Linked DNA regions of Schizosaccharomyces pombe. The protein of the gene in region 3 binds, or shares a complex with, the protein of the main gene of each other region. Each region holds a gene or a part of one and is shown on either strand. Other genes may lie near its edges.

Region 1 (7,171 bases), on a different chromosome or scaffold from region 3:
AATTTGCCTAGATTCAATGTGCATATATTTGTCCCATCGGGTAGCCCATGGAGTATCGGAATATTTCCAAGAGACTGAGTAAGAGGTCACGAGAGTAAGATCAGCTCCTTCCGGTAAATACTGTGGATTTGAAGACGAAGAACAAACTGGGTTTCCATCAACTAAAGTAGACTCCTTTGAGACAGGTTTTACATAAGCACCCACAACACGGTGTTGGTCACTAGATGTCGTATGATATTCTATAACTATATCATAATGATTGAATAGAATTACTCCCTTCTCCGTATTCTTGCCTAATGGAAAGCCTGGCGATAATGAGTAGTTCTTTGAGTTAGTCCCTTCTAAATATGTTGCTACGGGCAGATTATCTATGTTCCAGTTAACAACGTAGTTTTTGGAGATTAAATCTCTAATAAAACTGACATCTGAACTGGGAATTATCGAGGCACACAAGGGAACACAATCCTGGTTTTCAAGCATTTTTATTTCAATGGGAGAGTTGTAGAGACGGTCGCCAAAAAGCACACTTCCAAGTGACTCAGATTGTTTTGCGATATTCTCTGGTCGACAGAAGTGGAAACGCTCATCGTAGTCTAAAGTGAAGTTAGTAACAAGCAAAAAAGTTCGAGAGAAAATGTTATATCCTTCATTAAATCATATTTCTATAGTGTTTTCCTAATTTAAAATTGTAAAGTTTTTAAAAAAACACATGAACCTTCATGTGAGCTATCAACCACGTACATTCATAATTAAAGATGTCAGAACCCCGTCCATCTCCAATAAATGGTGAAATGGTATTGACAGTTGTATCAATTGAAGCACCGGGAGGATAGTTTTTCGGACTTAAGGGAGTTAATTGAAAACTAAAACAGGTTTGGAGAAGAACGGAAACGAAAACAACAAAGCTAAATGAACACGAGGGAATACTAGGTAAAAGCATATTTTACTATTTCCCTAATTCTTGGCAAAGACTCGAAACAGAATCTTTTCAAACCGAGATGATTAAGACTAAATCAATATAAAGTGCTACGGTTTTGGGGATTGATGCTGGTAGCATTTAATTTGAGGAATGCTGCTGTACTCTTAGTATGTCTCTTTATTGTGCTATTAACAATCCTCGTATACCGGTTTACGACCTGCTAACTTTCGTTATTCGTATATGAGGTTCAGAACGTGAGAGTTGGAGAACATCGATGTAAGCGAAAACATATCTGTTGAGTTTTCTTGTTATAACTTATTTATCGTTACATAATAATTGAAAGTTTAGTACTAAAAGTTGCGAAGGAACAGGTTGGAATGTCCTTAAATGACTTTCTGCAAACTTTGAGTAACGCTGTTGGAGAGAAAAACTCCAATACGTTGGAGAAATGTATTATTTTAGATCCATCAGAGCCCTCGTTTCAACAGCTCAGTAAAACTCTTTTTTTGGTATGTCGCAGGCTTGCACTACAAGTAATTGTCTTCAGGTTATAACATTAACTAACCGTGATAAAGGATAGAAAGGGGAAAAATAAGTTAAACGGAACCATTCAAAAAGAATTTGGAAGAATAAGAGGTTGGAAGGAATTGGTAACTACCTATTTTGAGTACGTTGAAAATGCTGCATCTTCTCCTGATCAACGAAAATGGGAATTGTTACAAAACTTGTATAGGTAATTAAAAACTTTTTGTTTATTATTTCTCACTTTTGTTTTTCTAGTAACTTGACAACTTGCTTCTCCCATATCGATGGAGCATGGTTGTGTACAATTGTAAAACGCGTTTCAAAGCTTTATGTAAAGCTCTCCCTTCAGCTAGATACATCTACACCTACTTTAGAAGATTCTTTTGATGGTAATGGGTTCATACAGAGGAAATACGTGAGCGATGCATCTAGGAACGTCTTACGAACGTTCAATAGTATACTGAGTGATCGTCAACAAAACATTAACCCTTCGAAGAAGGATGCGATATTCTGTATTGCCAATTTACTTTGTTTACTATATTTTCGCTTAAAGCAAATTCGTCTTTGCCAAACTATTCAAGCTAATGTCATCTCTTCGGGTGCCGATATTTCTCGCGCTACAATGGCGGAATTAGTAACGTTTCGTTATTATTTAGGAAGGTGTCATCTTTATCAACGCAAAATTCATCAGGCAAAGGACCATCTACTTTTTTCGTTTCTTCAGTGCCCTGATGAGTGTTATCATCAAAAAAGGTATGTTTTATTTTACTCAAAAATAGGATTCGTTTATATTTACTAATCAAAAAAGGCTTTCTCTAATCTATCTTACAACGTGTTTACTTATATTAGGAAAATCGCCAACAAAAGGGCTATTAGAAAAATACAAATTGACTGCAGCATTCGAACCTTTAATAAAAGCTTTGAAAAGTGGTGATATCAAGTCGTTCAGATTATCTTTGGAGGACAATTCCAGGAGGAAATGGTTTATCAAACGAGGAATATATCTAACTTTATTGGATAGATGTGAAATCATCCTGTGGAGGAATTTATTTAGAAAGGTGTACGTTTGAGATTTTTTAAAATATTCGACTAATTTAAAAAGGTTTCTTTTTACTTTTGAGCAAAGCCAAAAAACCCCGCACGTATCTGGTTCTTACTTGTTAACCGCGGCCCGTTTAAGTACAAATGATAACTCATATGACATGGACGATGTCGAATGTATCTGTGTTTCTCTAATTGACCAAGGATATATTAAAGGTTATATCATTCATGCATCATCAACTTTAGTCCTTAAAAAAGACCCATCGTTCGGTTTTTCTGTAATAGAGAGCCTTATGCCCATAGCAAGGAATGATCACGCAGAAAAGGAATTTTTTCATGCTAACGCATAATTAAATGAACTCAGAAAACGTAGATTGTTCGAAAATTATACTTAAAATTAATTAAATTTGAATTGACAAATGTTAAGCAAGGAACAGTGTTCAATCATCTTGCTTTGCGAAGTCTGAAAGCTAAATAAATACAGTCTAAACGGCAAAGCGTAATTTTATTCATTTTTAAAACAAAAGGGTATTTGGTCAAAGCAAAAAACTCTATAATTAGAAAAGTAAAATACCAGATATCACTTGACAAATAACACAATTTAGAATCAAAAATCTTCTTCCATTTCTGGATCAAAAAGATCAAATCCTGCAAAGACATCCTTATTAGCTGGCGATTCTACTTCTTTATTTTCCTCTTGCGTAGTGAATGTTGGAGAGGCAGGATAATTCATTTTAGTTTTTTCTTCAACGGCTTTGTTCGCATCAATTTCTGTTTCTGTTTCCGTTGGCTCGTTCGTCTTTGGAGGCTGTTCAGAAAATAATTGGGACGCTGTAGCCGATAAATTTGGAACCATGCTAGTTGAAAACTGAAACAACAGAGTTTTTCGCATCTGGTCCTCCGATGGCCAAGGATAATGCACAGGAGCTTTTGCATCTTGACCCGTCTCGGGATTGTACCCAGGAGGTGCAGAGGAAAACTTGGAAAGTTTTCTACCATAATCAAGGAGTGTTTCAGCATTAACTTTTTGTCGTTTTCTCCCCGACACTGTTTTTGGAAGATGGGTATCATAAATTGAGGTCATTTCTCTCATGCAGTCTTGAATTTGTAAATCCAGTTCCTTATCCTGCTTCAGCAAAGAACTAATTTCATTTTGTAATTCTCTACCATTTGTGTAATTTGATATTAAAGAGTGTAAGGTTTTCAAGTGGCCTACTAATGAGGTCCAGTTTTCTATTAGTACATATTGGTCAACCTTTTCGGATGACAGTCTTAACTGTTTATTGAGACATTCTTCAATAGAATCAATGGCTCTTTGATATTCCATTGGGGAGCATATGTGATTACTATATACTAACTACTCAACAATTGCTCGATCATCTAGTAGGTCAGGTTACAGTTATTTTGCAGACTCGACTTTTTACTCCTTAAACATCCGTAACCGTTAGTTAAACAGACATCCTTAAAAGGTTTAATGTGCTAAAACACGGTAAATTACAGTAATGTCCTCCTCCACAAGGGCAATAAGTAGCAGCTGGTATATACGCTCGACGAACAATACTTAAGTTACTCTCGATTAAATAGAATTAGTCAATTTAATTCTGTATATGATTTTAATTGTTTAAATTGTCTAACAAATTTCACTAATTTGGGCAAGAAGAAAGCTATTATTCGTATAAATTAGTCGACAAACTACGTTACATTTACAGTGTAACAATTTTGATCTTGTTAGGGACAACATAATGAATACATACTAGTGAATTAGATATCTCATTAAATTAAAAAAGCGAGTTCGTTAAAGAATGCTTAATGAGCTTATTTCGTTTAATGCGTATAAAGCCTATATCAGATCAGAAAATGTGTAATATTACTTTACCAAGAAATCGCTCAATTTAAATGTAATTTTTATAAAAGTATTTTAAACATATGTCACCTGTGGCTGAGTGAAAACCTATTCTGTCGATTTGCTTTTCCGAGACTAACTCAAAGTGGTCCGTCTATGTGGCTCAATACTGACTTATAAGAGTAGAGCAGAAAATACATTTCATATAAGTAAACTGAAGATACTTGATAATTGAAAATTCAATTGGACAACTTTAAAAAGATTTCTCGGTCAACTTTCTCCAAAGTACAGCTACTGTTAATATAGAGTTCGAAAAAATATGCAATATTGAACGTAAACTATTAAGCTAAATATTAATTTAGTAGGAACTTGCTACCAAAATATTAATATCACATAACTAAAAGATTTCGAAAACAACAATATATATTAAAAACTAATGTCTAAAGATAATGCCAAACAAACAAAGACTGAATGGATAGTAGATAGCAGCACGTTAAATGATAGTAGATGATAAATGCAAGGACAGGACATGACAACGATGTGTGAGATATAAATTAGTGTTATACAGCTAGAATAGATAAAATTTTTTTTTAACTTTGATATGGCTTTGCTTAACCGCAGTAAGAGCTATATTGTCTATCAGTGAAAGGTTGAGGGAATACGCCGTATTCAATAAGTAATCCCATATCCCAAGTAGGACTTGGTCCACCAGTTTTAGCAGTCCAGTAAATCCAACCAGCACCGCGTTCAAATTGATCTAACTGAGTTTCGATAAACAGACGAACAGCTCCCTTATATTCATCCGTCCAAGTGGAAATATCACCGCTGTTTGGTCCAATAAATGTCGAAGAGTCAACTCCTTCTTCGAAAATCGTGCAGTCTGCTAAAGTTCCGGACCATTCGCCAGTAACAGTAATGTAGGGAGAGGAAGCAATGGAATCACCAATGGAGCAAACATCTGAAAGATGATCATCGAGAGTCTTTGAGCACTCATCCGACTCGTAAAGTTGATAACGATGGACATCCATAACAAGATTGTATGAAGAAGGAGATACAACACCATAATCCCAAATAGAAAGATCAACATAGGCATCGTGAATGATAGTAGCAACAGAGCTGGAAAGAGGATTGACGATATTATAGGCATCTAAATCGTATTGCTTAAGTTGATCCATATCCAGACCATAGCCCAAAGGCTCATTTACCGTCTCAATTCCAATAACCACGCTGGCATATTGAGATTGGGTATACTTATTAGCAACATAGGTAATAATGTCAAGAGTACGAGTTACAGTGTCATTTTGCTGCCATCCAATGGAACCAGTCTTACCAGAGTTTTCAAATCCATTTTGGCTGCCTGGAACACCATGCAAGTCAATCCAAACCTTAAGGCCATATTGTTCAGCCCAAGTAAGAGCTTGATCGAGCCAGTACTCTTGCCCTTGAACATATGGTTCGCCGTCTACCACATTAAAGGCCCAATACCCAATAGGAATACGCAAAACATTAACACCCCAAGAAGCTATAGTAGCGAAATCAGATTCAGTGTAGAATGAGCTATAATGAGCAGCTAATTGAGAGGCAGCTTCATCTGCACCAAGAACCTCACAAAAGCCCCATTCATCAGTGGGAGGATTCGACATACTGCTAAATTGAGTAAACAATTGTGGAGTGATCCAATTTTCCAGCACCAACCAGCCACCAATGTTTACACCACGGACTTTTTCCGAGGTATAGTCAAAAACGGGGTTATTTCGCTTGATTACATAGGAAAATGCTGTCTTGAGAAGCAATGCATGCAAGAAAAAAGAAAAAACCGATGTAAAAGAGAGCATTTTAATGATATTATAAAGAGATAGAATATAGATATAAAGAACGAATAAGAGAACGAAAAACTGTTAAGAAACCAGTTTAGTTCAATTCAAAAGCACGTCTCAAATTCTAAGAGAAAAGCAAGTGAGTGTGTATATATTTATGTGTTCTTCAAAGCAGAAGAGAGAATAGGTATAAAGAAAAGGGGTATATATATGAGCACCTTTATGGACCGCGCAATGTAAGAACAAAGGAAGTACAAAAACAGTTCCACACAAAATAGCAATGTACAATTGGACAGAGTGATTGGCCGATTCAAAAAAAAGAAGTTCCTTTTAAAAAGGATATCGATACAGACAGCAAAAAAAAAAAAAGGAAGAAAAACTGAAACTCACGATAACAATGTTAACGAAGAAAACAGATAATCGGGCTGTATGTAAAGGAAAGTGTGTAAAATAGAAAATGCAAGCGACTTCTAAAAATAAAAAGAAAGAAAAAGGTAAAGAAAGAAAAGAAAGGATATCTAAATTAGAGCTTTCGTCTTTGAATTAAACAATGGAACAAAGGAACTGGGCATGAGTATCTTTTATACCAATTTCTCAACTCACGGAGCGCTCTAGAGTATGCTACGATAAAGAAAATTTGACAACCAATCACTACCAAGTAAACAATGATCGACAAATATGGACACTTTTTGACTCCTTAATTGGCTAACCTAATGGCTGGTTTTATTGTTTACTGCTTGGATTTGCGTACTGTTTTGTTTACATTTAGGTAGCGGTTACCAGGTAGATTGGACGAGAGGTAGCAATCGACCGTTTATTGTGGCTTACCGCGTCGTTATACCGTAAACAACGCGCTGGATTCATTGTAAATAGCAACGAAGCGCTGTAAAAAGCCGACAAAACATTAGCATTTGTACACGCTCTCTACCTTCACGCCTTTGCTGCCAGGGTGCGTTTGAGACAGTTAGTTGCTAAGTAAAAAAATGCCAATTCGGCTGGATTGAACTCTAAATATTATTTATTTAT
Region 2 (7,369 bases), on a different chromosome or scaffold from region 3:
TATCATTGCTTTGTAACTTAGTAGATGCTTTATTGTGCCTTTAGCTTGTTTTTATTTTCCATATTAGTTTGTTCTAAGAATTGGGTAACCTCGAAATTTATTACAAGGTCAATTAATAGGCAATACGTTTTTTGTTCCCTTAGTTGTAATTGTTCAAAATGAAGATTCTTGCAAGCAGTACAAATTATGTACTACATAATCGCTTGTCCAATTCACAATATGAAGATGCGCGATCAAAAATTGTAAATTTTGGAGGAGAATTCACAAACGATGCAGCAAAAGCGGATTACATTTTTGTCAATTACAGTCAAATTAACAGAGTTCGGCGAGAGCTAAGAACAATTGGAACACCGTTAGAGACGTGTGTATCGTGTAAGTTGATTGTTAAAATTGACTGGCTTAACGAGCCTAAAGAATCTTTAACGCCCGGGAATCCATATGTGATATGGCATCGAAAACCAGAGATGAAAGTTGGCTCGCCGTACACACCTTCAACAAGACCTGCTTCGCACACTGAAGCACCAAACGATTTTGAAAACCACGAAACTCCAAACACAGAAAATAATAACGAAGTTAAAAGCATTGACAATGTTGATCAAGAAGGATCAGTTTATCCGACTACGAAAGAATACCCTTACGTTCTTGAAATTCCACGGTATGCGTGCCAGAGAAAGACACCGCTTAAATGTGTCAATCAAGCCTTTGTGAATGCTTTAAGTGTCTTGAAAACATGCAGAGAAGTAAACGGTGAATCAGTAAGGACTAGGGCATACGGAATGGCGATTGCAACCATTAAAGCTTTTCCCTTGCCTATCGATAGCGCAGAACAATTAGAGAAAATGCCCGGTTGTGGGCCCAAAATAGTACATCTTTGGAAAGAGTTTGCATCAACGGGAACCTTAAAAGAAGCTGAGGAATTTCAGAAGGATCCGGCTTCAAAAATTTTGCTTTTATTTTACAATATTTTCGGAGTTGGTGCTTCTCATGCTGCTGAATGGTACCAAAAGGGTTGGCGTACGATTGAACAAGTTAGGAAGCACAAAGATTCATTTACCAAACAAATAAAAGTTGGTCTGGAGTTTTATGAAGATTTTTGTAAAACTGTAACCATTGAGGAAGCCACGGAGATTTATGAAACTATTGTCTCACGGATGCCGGATGGAATTAAAATTCAGTCTTGTCTAGTAGGTGGATTTCGTCGGGGAAAGCCTGTTGGAGCGGACGTTGATATGGTGTTGAGTCCATCACATACTCATTCTACAAAACATCTGGTGGATGTTCTCTTAAGAATTTTAGACGAGGAATTTCAATTCCGACTAATTTCTGTTCAGGAACATTCTTGCGGAGGAAAGAAAGGTTATGTAATGCTAGCAGTCATTTTGTCAAATTCTTCTAAAATCAATAGGCGTGTTGATATTATAGTAGTGCCGCCTGCATACATAGGCTCTGCCGTATTAGGATGGAGTGGAGGAATATTTTTTCTTCGCGATTTGAAGCTTTATGCTAACTCTCATTTGGGTCTAAGCTATGATTCGTTCGAAATCATAAATCTTAAAACAGGAAAAGACATATGTCCCGACGAATTTAATGAGTGGAAGGATCCCGTGGAAGCTGAAAAAGACATTTTTAGATATTTCTCCCTAGAGTATATTGAACCAAAGTTTCGTAACACGGGATAGTAAATACCTATCTTGACCTTAAGATCGCCACATTACTAACTCGCGATTTCGAAAATTGTTTTACGAAGCTTCTTTTAATTTATGTTTCTTTGCTACCCGACACTTTTAGTAGATTTTTTGCTAAAAACTTGAAATGTTTACACATTTTTCCAATCGGTCTATTAGGAAACGAAATCCTTGGAACAGAAATGAGACATCAAACAAGTAAATTTATCAGAAATCTCGAATTTAAAGAGAGGGAAAATTGAGGTCTAACAGTTTGGTATACAATGAAGCTCTATGCGAATGCTGTGTTTACAAAATATGGATTTTTTTTAAAGACGAATAACGATTTTTAACGTCATGGCGTTAAAATGACAATTTTACTCATCTTAGGGCACGTGACTGGAGTGGGTTAAAAATAATAAAAAGTTGTGGCTGCAACTTTTGTTTTTTACCAAACACCTTACCTTGACACATACCTTTGGAAAACCATCACCAAAGGACTTTCATGTTTGAGACATCGTTTAAAATACAAAACTGTGCATTTAATCAACGTTCAAGGACTGGCCATCTGAAATAAAAGGAACATTTTAAAGATAATACGGATTTTTTATCGAAAGAGTGACTTGTTATGATATTTCAAATTTTAGAATAAGTCACAAGCACTAAGCGCTTTTTAAAGACATAAAGTAGAGCAAATTTTTTTATATTACCTAAAAAAATCATCGAGACTGTAATAACAATGGCAACCATTAACATCCGACGTGATGTCAAAGATAGCTTCTATCGTTATAGAATGCCAAAACTGCAATCTAAAATCGAAGGCAAGGGAAATGGTATAAAGACTGTAATCCCGAACATGTCCGATATCGCTAAGGCGTTGGGAAGACCCCCTTTGTATGTAACTAAATTTTTTGGTTTTGAGTTGGGCGCCCAAACCACCATTATTGCTGACATGGACCGTTACATTGTGAACGGTGCTCATGATGCTGGAAAGCTTCAAGATCTGTTGGATGTATTTATCCGCCGTTTTGTGCTATGCGCTTCTTGTCAAAATCCGGAAACTGAATTAAGCATTAATAAGAAGGATCAGACAATTTCCTATGATTGTAAAGCTTGTGGCTATCGTGGTGTCATTGACGGTCGTCACAAGCTTACTGGTGTCATCGTCAAGAACCCTCCTGCAAAAAAGAAGTCCCACAAACATAAAAGGGATTCTCCTGTTGCAGAGGAAGAAGATGGTGCTGAAGACGAACTCACTCGTAGAATTCGTCAAGAAGCCGCGGAACTCCCTACCGCTGAGGTCGTAAATGACGAAGATTGGGCTGTGGATACCAGTGAAGAAGCTGTTCGTGCTCGTGTTCAAGAGTTAGAAGGTAATATGAAAGATTCGCTCACTTTGAGTGACTTACGTGGCGACGAGGAAGAAGCGGAATCTAGCCGTTATGATCAATTCGGTGAATGGCTTGAAGACAACTACCCTGGTGTTTCTGATGTTGAAATTTACAAAAAGATGAAGGAAGAGAATATTCATCATAAAAGTAAAGCTATTGTTGTACTAGTTCAATGTATTATTACTTCGCCTTACGTTGGGGAGTTTGAAAAGCATGGTGCATTGTTTAAAAAGCTTTGCACGACAGATAAACATGAACGTGCTCTTCTTGGTGGGTTTGAACGTTTGATGGAAAACACTGAATTAGTGCACATCGACGTTGTTCCCAAGGTACTCTTGGAGATTTATCAGAATGACTTGGTCTCTGATGACATGTTTGAGAAATGGGGAGCAAAGGCTAGCAAGAAATATGTGAGCCGTGAAACTAGTAAGAAGATTCATGAAGCTGCTGAACCTTTTTTGACATGGTTGGCTGAAGCAAGTGACGAATCTGAGAGTGAAGATGAGGAGGAAGAAGAAGAAGACGACGACGAATAAGAACGGCCTCTTTTTACTCTCTACCACAATTTGTGCTTTGAGAATTGAATAACTTACAATCCTGTTCTCTAAAATATTAAGCTGATTCTTTCAAGTTTTAGCAAATTAGTTTCTCGTAAGTTGAATATATCTATTAAAGTGTTCTGATTTTTGTAAAATAGGCTAGCCTTTTAAAGTGTTCAATTTATACTATTCAAAACATCCAACTAATTCCATAATTTCATTTTACTAAAGATTTTTAAAACTGATTAGTAATGTCTTTTTCTAGCATGAAATTCTAATTAACGACTTTCTTTATAAACACTTCTATCGCAAGTCCGATGTTACATGTTTGTTGTATAAGTTTTTGAAAAACATGAGACTGTTGTTTTGACAATTCTTTGCCACCACTAGACATATAATCAACATTCAGTCTTCCATCTGACAATACGGATAGAACAATGATAATTTGTTCGGAATTATTCAGTTTGTTGATTTCTTGATATTGGGCATGAACGATCGGATGCTCCTTAAAATATAGAGAGAGGTGAAGGGAGGAAGATGCCGCAGTCTCTGCTAAATCTGCTGATTTGATATTTTCCAAAATCAATTGTAATAATAAATATTGGCGTACAATAGCAAGTATTCCTCGAATTTGCTTGGGATGATGAAACGGTACGTGACGCAAAGAACGTGCGGAAACATCGAACCCTGTTAGCTGGATGGCTTGATTTTTATTAATGAATTTGTAGTTCACGGTTGATTTTGAAGGTAAACCAAGCTGGTGAAATTAGTTAAGTTGATATTTAGGGAAAGTACTTACCATATGACTATAATTTTGGACAGGCCAAGGAATGGTAATGTCATGGACATGAAGCAAATCAAGTAAAGGTTTGACGCCCTGCTCTGGTATTATTAAATTGATATCATCAAAAACTAGTTCCATTGTTGTAGGAATAGGTGTCAAAGTATTTTCAAGTGCCCAATTAATTTTTGATGATTGGAGGATAGGAGGAGAATTTAATAAATTATATCCGAATAACAAGTGAGGTAGCGACTCATGAGACAAATTATCCATAAAAATTTGAGTGCTATAGGTTTTATCCAAAAGCTTCCAGTATACAATACGCAAACCAAGTTGTCCTTCGTAATTACTGAGAGGCTTTCCGTTTCCATGCATTATAACATTTTCTTCTTGTGCTAGCAAAGATAATTCTGCTTCATAAATAGCATTTAAAGAAGAGGATAGTGAGTCTAAATATTGGAAACAACTTTGTTGGACCGAAGGAGAGGAGTGATCAAAGGTAGCCAACCATTTGACATTCTTTTCAAATAGTGGGGTATTGCAATTGTAAATTGCATCCTTAAGTAATTTTTCTGCAACAGGATTATTATATTGCTCACCACTAGCGTTTGCAAAAGCCAAAACAACGTTGATATCTTTTGGAGACGCATTTATGGGAACAGTGATCTAGATACTAATTAGTAAAACGGTTATGTACAGGATTTAAACTTACGTCGATCAAAATTATTTTTCCAGCTAAACTGAGGACCACTTCATTGGGTTTGGAGGAGTCTTGAAAAACCTCCAGACCATACTTTTTAGCCAAATATTCAAATCCAGTTACAGAGATATCATTCCAAGGAACTGATGATAGACAATCAATCCAATAACGCGTCCAGTTAATCTGATTGGGGTTAGAGGCGTTTCGACGGAAATGAACTTCAGAAAAGAGATGTGGTCTATCCATCGAAAAGATTATTAAAGAAGATTTAGTAAATTAGTCGTGTATTTCGTATTTAATCAGCTTAAAACACTGTATATAAGCGCAATTTTATGTCTGTTCAGCGAGCAATTTAATTTGTTCTGCAAAAAGGAAGCCTTTACTGCCATCAAACTATTTGCTAGAAACGCATTAATTGCAAAAACAAGTAGGTAATTTTGAACCGCCTAAAACTTAGTTTCAATGGGAAGGTCTGTGTGATTGATTTATCTTTATAACGAGGGTTAAAACAGTAGTTATGGGGAATTTTATATGTATACAAATGAAAACCAATTTTAAACCTTGGACTAAAAAAAACCCAAAGTATGTTCACTCAAACTCTTTTTAAAGCATCAAAATATATATGCAGTAAATCTTAATAAAATATTTTCTTTTTGGTAAAATTTGTGCACAAATCAATAAGCGTTCTATGTTTCATTTACAGCTTGCGTGCCCTTTCAGAAGTGGTTGGTATTGATATGCAGGGTGTAGCGCGGCTTTAATTAGCCACGAACGTACTGCTACTAGTTTGCATTTTAAAGAAGATAAGAGACTGTAACTGAAGGAGGGAGCTTATAGAAACAATATTTTGTTTCAAAAAAGCCAGTAAAAGCGTAATATAGTGAGAATTTTGGCTTTTTGAAGCAAAGTTTGCAAATGGGCTATTTGCAGTCCCAAAAAGCGGTTTCTCTGGGCGACGAAAATACGGATGCATTATTTAAACTTCATACATCAAACCGGAAAAGCGCAAACATGTTCGGAATAAAATCTGAACTATTAAACCCATCTGAACTTTCTGCCGTTGGTAGTTATTCCAACGATATTTGTCCAAACCGCCAGAGTTCTAGCAGTACAGCAGCAGATACGAGTCCTTCGACGAATGCCTCAAATACGAACATTTCTTTTCCGGAACAAGAGCATAAAGATGAGTTATTTATGAATGTTGAACCAAAGGGAGTTGGTTCATCTATGGATAATCATGCTATTACTATACACCACTCGACTGGCAATGGTTTACTCCGAAGTAGTTTTGATCACGATTATAGACAGAAAAACAGTCCGAGGAATTCCATACACCGTTTGTCAAACATAAGTATTGGTAATAACCCAATCGATTTCGAGTCATCTCAGCAGAACAATCCTTCGTCGTTGAATACTTCTTCACATCATAGGACATCTTCAATATCGAACTCTAAGAGTTTTGGAACTTCCTTATCATATTATAATCGTTCATCAAAGCCTAGTGATTGGAATCAGCAAAATAATGGGGGGCATTTGAGTGGGGTTATATCTATTACACAAGATGTATCATCCGTTCCTTTACAATCTAGCGTTTTTTCCTCGGGGAACCATGCATACCATGCTTCAATGGCTCCAAAGAGATCCGGTAGTTGGCGTCATACTAACTTCCATTCTACTTCACATCCCAGAGCAGCTTCTATTGGAAATAAGTCTGGAATTCCTCCTGTTCCAACTATTCCTCCTAATATAGGTCATTCCACTGATCACCAACATCCTAAAGCAAATATATCTGGATCCCTTACGAAATCAAGTTCAGAATCGAAGAATCTTTCTACAATCCAATCCCCTTTGAAGACATCCAATTCTTTTTTCAAAGAACTTTCCCCCCATAGTCAAATAACCCTTTCTAATGTTAAAAATAATCACTCACATGTAGGATCACAAACCAAATCACACTCTTTTGCTACCCCCTCTGTCTTCGATAACAACAAACCTGTTTCATCCGATAATCACAATAATACTACTACATCATCTCAAGTTCATCCCGACAGTAGAAATCCTGATCCGAAAGCTGCTCCTAAAGCGGTTTCTCAGAAGACAAACGTTGATGGGCATCGTAACCATGAAGCTAAACATGGGAATACTGTCCAAAATGAGTCTAAATCACAGAAATCTTCCAACAAAGAAGGTAGATCTTCAAGAGGTGGCTTTTTTAGCAGATTGAGTTTTTCGAGAAGTTCTTCTCGTATGAAGAAAGGAAGTAAAGCTAAACACGAGGATGCCCCTGACGTACC
Region 3 (5,916 bases):
AATTTCTTCATTTATCAAATTATTGGAATATTGCTAAAGTAGCGAAGTTCGAATTGTACGAGAGTAAAATTTTGAGAGTAGTGCACAGTTTGTATTCACCAAATTTCTATCCTCAACCCACCACCAGTTGGAGGTAAAATTGCGGTAGAAAGGCAACCATGGCTGCCACAACCGGTAATATTATCAAATTTGAAGAAAATGCAGATTCGAAAGATTTGCTGGAGCAATGCTTGAATTGCTCTGATGTTGGTGTTGTATCCAACACTGTTCGCAATATGGATGGTACTATTGCGGCTGATTTAGCTAGAACTTTAATCCCAGCCATGTTGATAAATATGCAGCCATCCCTTGCGATTTGGTTGCATTGGATTATTGTTACACATGGTGGATATTTGACCACCGTCATGGATTTGCAGGATTCACTTGTTCAGTTACATGAAAAGCTTGTACAAAGTGCTCATTTAATGACTAAAATTTTTTCTTTGTCCGGAAAATTAAATATGGTTTTATCTCAGGAAGAGATGAGGCAACGTCGACTTGATTTTTCGAGTGAAGATGGAGAAGAAGAGGAGGAAAACGATTACATCGATGAGGATGTGGATGAAGCAGGCTACGATATAGAGGTAGTTGATGAAGCAGAAAATGATGACATGGACAATGATTTGGAAGCAAATGCCGATGCGTTTGATGAAAGCAATTTGGAAGCTTCTTTGTCGCCAAATGCAGAATTATCACCTAGAAAAAGTCACATTGATCATGACTTTGTCATCCCGGAAGATGAAATGCTTTCTGAAGAAGAGGAACAAGAGGTGGAAAAACAAATTCTACCTAAATTTGTTGTCCCCGAAAGCCCAAGAAAAACTAGTCGCAAATCTCGGTAAAATCGGGAATACCTCTGTAAGAAAAAAATCATTCCTTTTGCATAACTTCTGTTTTCTTTTGATCATAATAAATAGAGTGTCTTGATCAATTTACAAAGCTCTACTTTTTTTCCTTTATATTTTATTGGTTCCTTGGATATTAATATTTGGTGCCATGAGAATGACGCTTTATCGTTTTATGGGTACGTGTTGGAATTCGGAAATTGTTTTTACTTAGTTTTAATCTATACATAAATAATATGGATACACCATACATGTATATAAACAAACCAAGTTTGTAAGTATTTGTAGATTGTGTGACTAACCTGCAGTCGTATCGTATATTTAGCGTGTTCATTCGAAAGTATGCCCATAATTTAATCATGAAGCCATTTGTTGGTTTGCTCAACAAATTTATAGTTCTACATTTCTTTTCATCTTCTCGAATATCAAATGTTAAGACAATTTTTGATATTTTGTAATAGCGCAATATTTTTTTCATTGTATCCAATATCAATTAGTGTAGTGCTGTATATATTAACAAAAAAATTGAAATAATATTAATTTATTAACATAAGTAAAACCTCCATAACTCTTGACAAACTACTCTAAAATTTTCTGCCAACAACCAACTACTTTAAAAATGGGTTTTTCTGATCTCACCTCTGACGCTGGTCTTAAGCAACTTAACGACTTCTTGCTTGACAAGTCTTTCATTGAAGGGTAAGTCATTTTTGTGCGGAAAATGCATCAAAATAATAGTGAAATACCATTTGATCACAAATCGTATTTTTTTTCCTTTGTTAAAAGTTCCCTATGGCATATCTACAAGTGCAAAGACTATTTTTTAAAGCCCTCTCAATTAGACACGATAGCCGTCTTTTAACAAAAAACGTGAAAATGCTTTGTTTGTATCTTTTCACTGAGCTTGATGTTTTTTAATTACCAAATCCTTTCTAACGTTTTATAGATATGAGCCTAGCCAAGCTGATGCTGTAGTCTTTAAGGCTGTTGGCGTTGCTCCTGATACTGCCAAGTACCCCAACGGTGCTCGTTGGTACAAGCAAATTGCCACTTATGACCTTGCCACTCTTCCTGGTACCGCCAAGGAGGTTTCTGCCTATGGTCCTGAGGGTGCTGCTGCCGCTGAAGAAGATGAGATCGATCTCTTTGGCTCTGACGAAGAGGAGGATCCTGAAGCTGAGCGCATTAAGGCCGAGCGTGTTGCCGAATACAACAAGAAGAAGGCTGCTAAACCCAAGGCCGTTCACAAGTCTCTTGTCACCTTGGATGTTAAGCCTTGGGATGATGAAACCCCTATGGACGAATTGGAGAAGGCCGTTCGTAGCATTCAAATGGACGGTCTTGTTTGGGGTCTTTCCAAACTTGTTCCCGTTGGTTTCGGTGTCAACAAGTTCCAAATTAACTTGGTTGTTGAGGACGACAAGGTTTCCTTGGAAGCTCTTCAAGAGGAGCTTGAGGGTTTCGAAGATTACGTCCAATCTACCGATATCGCCGCTATGTCCAAGTTGTAAGTTGTTTTACAACTAAAGCGTTCTTCCGTTTATCAGGGAGGTCCTTAGGAATTACAAAAGGATCTTCTCCTCTATATTCTAATGTTAGAGGGGAATGTGTGGATATGGGAAAGCAAATAATTAAATTTGTTTTTGGTTTATATCTATCGATTGTTTCATAAAGTACGATTTTTTTACCTCAATCGTGTTGTAAGCGTGTAAATCTGTATAATTAAGAAATATGGGGTTCGAACGGTGTATTTTATGCAATTCAAGCAATGGTAATTGACATAGAAATGTATGACAAGTTATTTTTTTTGCATCAATCATGAATACTGAAATTACGTCTCTAAAGCCCAGTCGGGTATTTACGATTGATGACTGTAATGTATGGGCAGTAAGTGAAACAATCTGTTTAATTTGGATGATCCAATACCATTTTTTTATGCTGCGGTTCTTTGCAACAGTCCTGCGTAGATCAACTCATATTTTTACTATTTCGACAATTGTTTTACACTTCTCAAAATTGGGTATTATTTAGAAAATACTCTTTACGATGAAATGTATATGAAGAAAAATAACTTTGAAAATGTATTACTAAAATGAATAAAACAACTAGCAACATATAGAACATAAGTTAATATGATTCAGTTAACAACGTTAAGAATACATTAAACAGTAGATGAGAAAAAGAATTTAAGTAATTTGTCTCTTGAGAATCTAGTAGAATCACCGAGATTAAACTATTGAAGTTAAAAGCGACTTCTTAGGAATAAACCTGAGAAAACAAAGATGAATTTTAAAAACGAAACAACGCCATGTAATAAATAAGTTTTCTAGACCGCAAATTAAAGAGTAATTAAATCATTTGGTATTGTTTCCATGCTTTGAAACGATGAAAAATCTCTGAAAACAGCAGATAACTGAACCCGCAGAAAGAGCTTCAAATATTTATCGCTCTTCTGAGTACAATCATTGAGTAATGGAAAGCAGAATCGACAAGTTTCAGTAAAAGCAACAAGTTTAGTAAAATTCGGCAAGAGCATTAAGGATTTGACCTGCAGTTTTAAAGCAAACTTTCACAGCTTTCTAGGATTTGATGAGCAATTGATGGCTCATCAATTACTTCTTTCTACGACTTGGACTACGAGGTTGAGAGGAATCACGACTAACATTGCCCATTACAACGTCGTCTTCAAGGCCAAACACTTTAGGATTAAAACCTGGAATAATGCCTGGCTCTACAGAGAACACATGATGTAAAAATTCAATGTCAATAGGAACTTCTTCTCGAATAGGGTTTGTAAGCCATTGTTTTATAGTATTATCACGAAGAATTTCATTATAACCTGGCAAGTCTTGGATGTAAGCCTTGTACGAACGACGCATCTTTCTCTTGTTACCAAATTCATCGACACGTCCAACCTTTTTAGCAAGTTCCGTAAGACCATAAAGCTCTATTAAATTCTGATGGGCAGAAGGCCTCGTCGGTTGGTAGTCTACACTACCTACATAGTGGTATTCAGGAGCTTGCGCCATGCAAATAAATTGACCAATGTAACAATAAGAATATATTATTGCATTCAAATTTTTTAAATATATATGCAATGAATGCTTTACTCTCTAAGTTGCTTAGCTGGATAGTTTGGAGTAGTGGTTGGTGGTTTAAAGAAGCTATAGCATACTTGGCTAGTATAATTATTGAGTTACTTCCAAGGGTAATCGATTTAACATAAATTGTAATTAATAAATTGCATCAAAACATATATTGAAAAATTAAAATTAGTCGGTAGGTAAAATTAAAACTTTATTATGTGTCCATTCATCCAAAGTAGACTGAAGTTTTTCTTCTTGGTACAGAGCACGGACCGAATCAGATCCACCGATGCTATGACCACCAACGAAGATGTTGGGCATTGTAGATATATCGCTAATGGAAGAAAGCCAGTCTCTTAACTCTTGAGTATGCTCGTAGTCGGTGACTTCTACAACCACTGCTGGAGGATCCAATCTAAGGGTTTCTGTTAGAAGTTTTTTAGCTGCAGCACTATAAGGACATCCAGGACGACTAAAAATGATAACAGGGTTTTCAAGAAATACTTCAAAATCTGTTGAATCCTTAGCAGGTAATTTAGGAGCAGATGGCACTGAGACATCTGAAAGACCTAAAGGTCCTGCCTTTGCATTTTTCTCAGGTTCATTCAGTGGACTGAATATGAAGATATGAATAAGCAATAACGATATTATAAGAGATGTAATAAGAAAAATCTTTCTATTAGCCATAATGGGATGTAAGCTTTCCTTTCTCTTGGTAATTTGTATGAGCTGACGAAAAGCAGCTGATTAATCAAATTATTGTGATTAAAGCAAAATAAAATAATATAAAATGAATAAACTATTACAATTAAATTCCCTCACAGTTGGTTTAGATAGTTACCCAAAACCTGTGGTATGCAAACGGTAGGCTGGTCGCGGATAGGTGAATTTAGGATATTGCGATTGAGGATTGAAAAACTTCTTTAAAGGCCCAAAAATTACTAATTAAGCTACAAAGATGCCACCGTTAATATGAATCAAGCTCAGTCTATTTTAATGCTTCTACAACAAGGGCACGGAAGGAAAGGAACCTTACTTGCTCGCATTAAGGATGCCAAGCACTTTAGTCTTTCAGATTATTCTCAAAAGATGTAAATTTTTTTAAATAATCGTCAAAAAACGTAAAGGTAATGTACAACATTCTAATGCTATTTCATCCTCATGATTTAGCAACTCTCAAAAGCTAATGAACTACTTGTACACGTGTATCGTAGAATTGAAATGCGTTTTAACAAATCCGTTAAGTCTATAAAACATGGTTCGAAATTTGGTATAAAAACTACCTCAAATGAAGCGACCAATTATCCTAATAAAAAGAGGGGAGATAATGCTCTAAAAAATATGAAACGTGATAAAAAAATAAACCTAAGCCAATTTGATTTTAGGAAGAGCCAACATGACAGAGTCAAGAGCCATACCATAACCAGCTTGGTATCCTGTGCCAGAAGCACCGTAATCATGAACAAGGGGGACTGAGGTGCCGGGAACAACATCAAGCTCTACGCGGGCACCACCCTTTCGAGAAGGACGGAATCCGACACATTCTTGAATAATTTCAGCACCCTCCGGACCCTTGCCGTGGAACAATTCTGGCATCAAAGCCGATGTTCTCTTAAGGATATCCAAAGTGTCTTCAGGGTGAATTTCACGATCCCAGTTTCCTGGTTGCATGAAACCGCCGCAAATGACTCCACCATTTAAGGGACGAGGAATAATATAGGTATCAGAGTTCTTGCCATTCAAAATGCGAGTTTCTGTTACATGAGGAGCCTTAACCAAAACAACATGTCCACGAGTCGGATAAACGTCCGGGTCTTCAACGCCACCCAATTTGGAAGCCCAGAGACCAGTGCAATTAAATACTACTGAAGCTTCTGGAGTTTCTTCGACAGTCTCTTTGATGTGACTCAATTCTTTCTTTTCAAATTCGACGCCAGCTTCAATGA

Evidence for each region.
Region 1: rox3 (region 3) and pmc4 share a complex: the UniProt entries of both Schizosaccharomyces pombe proteins name them as parts of the mediator complex.
Region 2: rox3 (region 3) and med1 share a complex: the UniProt entries of both Schizosaccharomyces pombe proteins name them as parts of the mediator complex.

The regions. Positions count from the first base shown.
Region 1 is NC_003423.3:3,514,130-3,521,300, reverse strand, and holds pmc4 (mediator complex subunit Med4), read right to left. Parts: upstream 3,841-7,171; 5' UTR 3,813-3,840; coding exon 3,093-3,812; 3' UTR 2,836-3,092; coding exon of another isoform or gene 2,547-2,835; 3' UTR 2,505-2,546; coding exon of another isoform or gene 2,253-2,504; 3' UTR 2,212-2,252; downstream 1-2,211. Other genes in the region: EMP70 family endosomal transport protein Emp70, read right to left, coding at 1-593, 742-940; TREX/TREX2 complex subunit Pci2, read left to right, coding at 1,297-1,428, 1,495-1,652, 1,700-2,197, 2,253-2,504, 2,547-2,835; cell wall glucan 1,6-beta-glucosidase Exg1, read right to left, coding at 4,940-6,163. UniProt on the Schizosaccharomyces pombe protein: Component of the Mediator complex, a coactivator involved in the regulated transcription of nearly all RNA polymerase II-dependent genes.
Region 2 is NC_003424.3:536,347-543,715, reverse strand, and holds med1 (mediator complex subunit Med1), read right to left. Parts: upstream 5,807-7,369; 5' UTR 5,322-5,806; coding exon 5,088-5,321; exon of another isoform or gene 5,042-5,087; coding exon 4,394-5,041; intron 4,352-4,393; coding exon 3,869-4,351; 3' UTR 3,704-3,868; downstream 1-3,703. Other genes in the region: pol4 (DNA polymerase X family), read left to right, coding at 159-1,679; translation initiation factor Tif5, read left to right, coding at 2,404-3,591; DYRK family cell polarity protein kinase Pom1, read left to right, coding at 5,991-7,369. UniProt on the Schizosaccharomyces pombe protein: Component of the Mediator complex, a coactivator involved in the regulated transcription of nearly all RNA polymerase II-dependent genes.
Region 3 is NC_003421.2:1,731,271-1,737,186, forward strand, and holds rox3 (mediator complex subunit Med19), read right to left. Parts: upstream 4,043-5,916; 5' UTR 3,914-4,042; coding exon 3,497-3,913; 3' UTR 2,990-3,496; downstream 1-2,989. Other genes in the region: ribonucleoprotein complex protein Utp502, read left to right, coding at 159-881; tef5 (translation elongation factor EF-1 beta subunit, guanyl-nucleotide exchange factor (eEF1B)), read left to right, coding at 1,504-1,583, 1,831-2,395; CIA machinery monothiol glutaredoxin Grx3, read right to left, coding at 4,157-4,657; dao1 (D-amino acid oxidase), read right to left, coding at 5,336-5,916. UniProt on the Schizosaccharomyces pombe protein: Component of the Mediator complex, a coactivator involved in the regulated transcription of nearly all RNA polymerase II-dependent genes.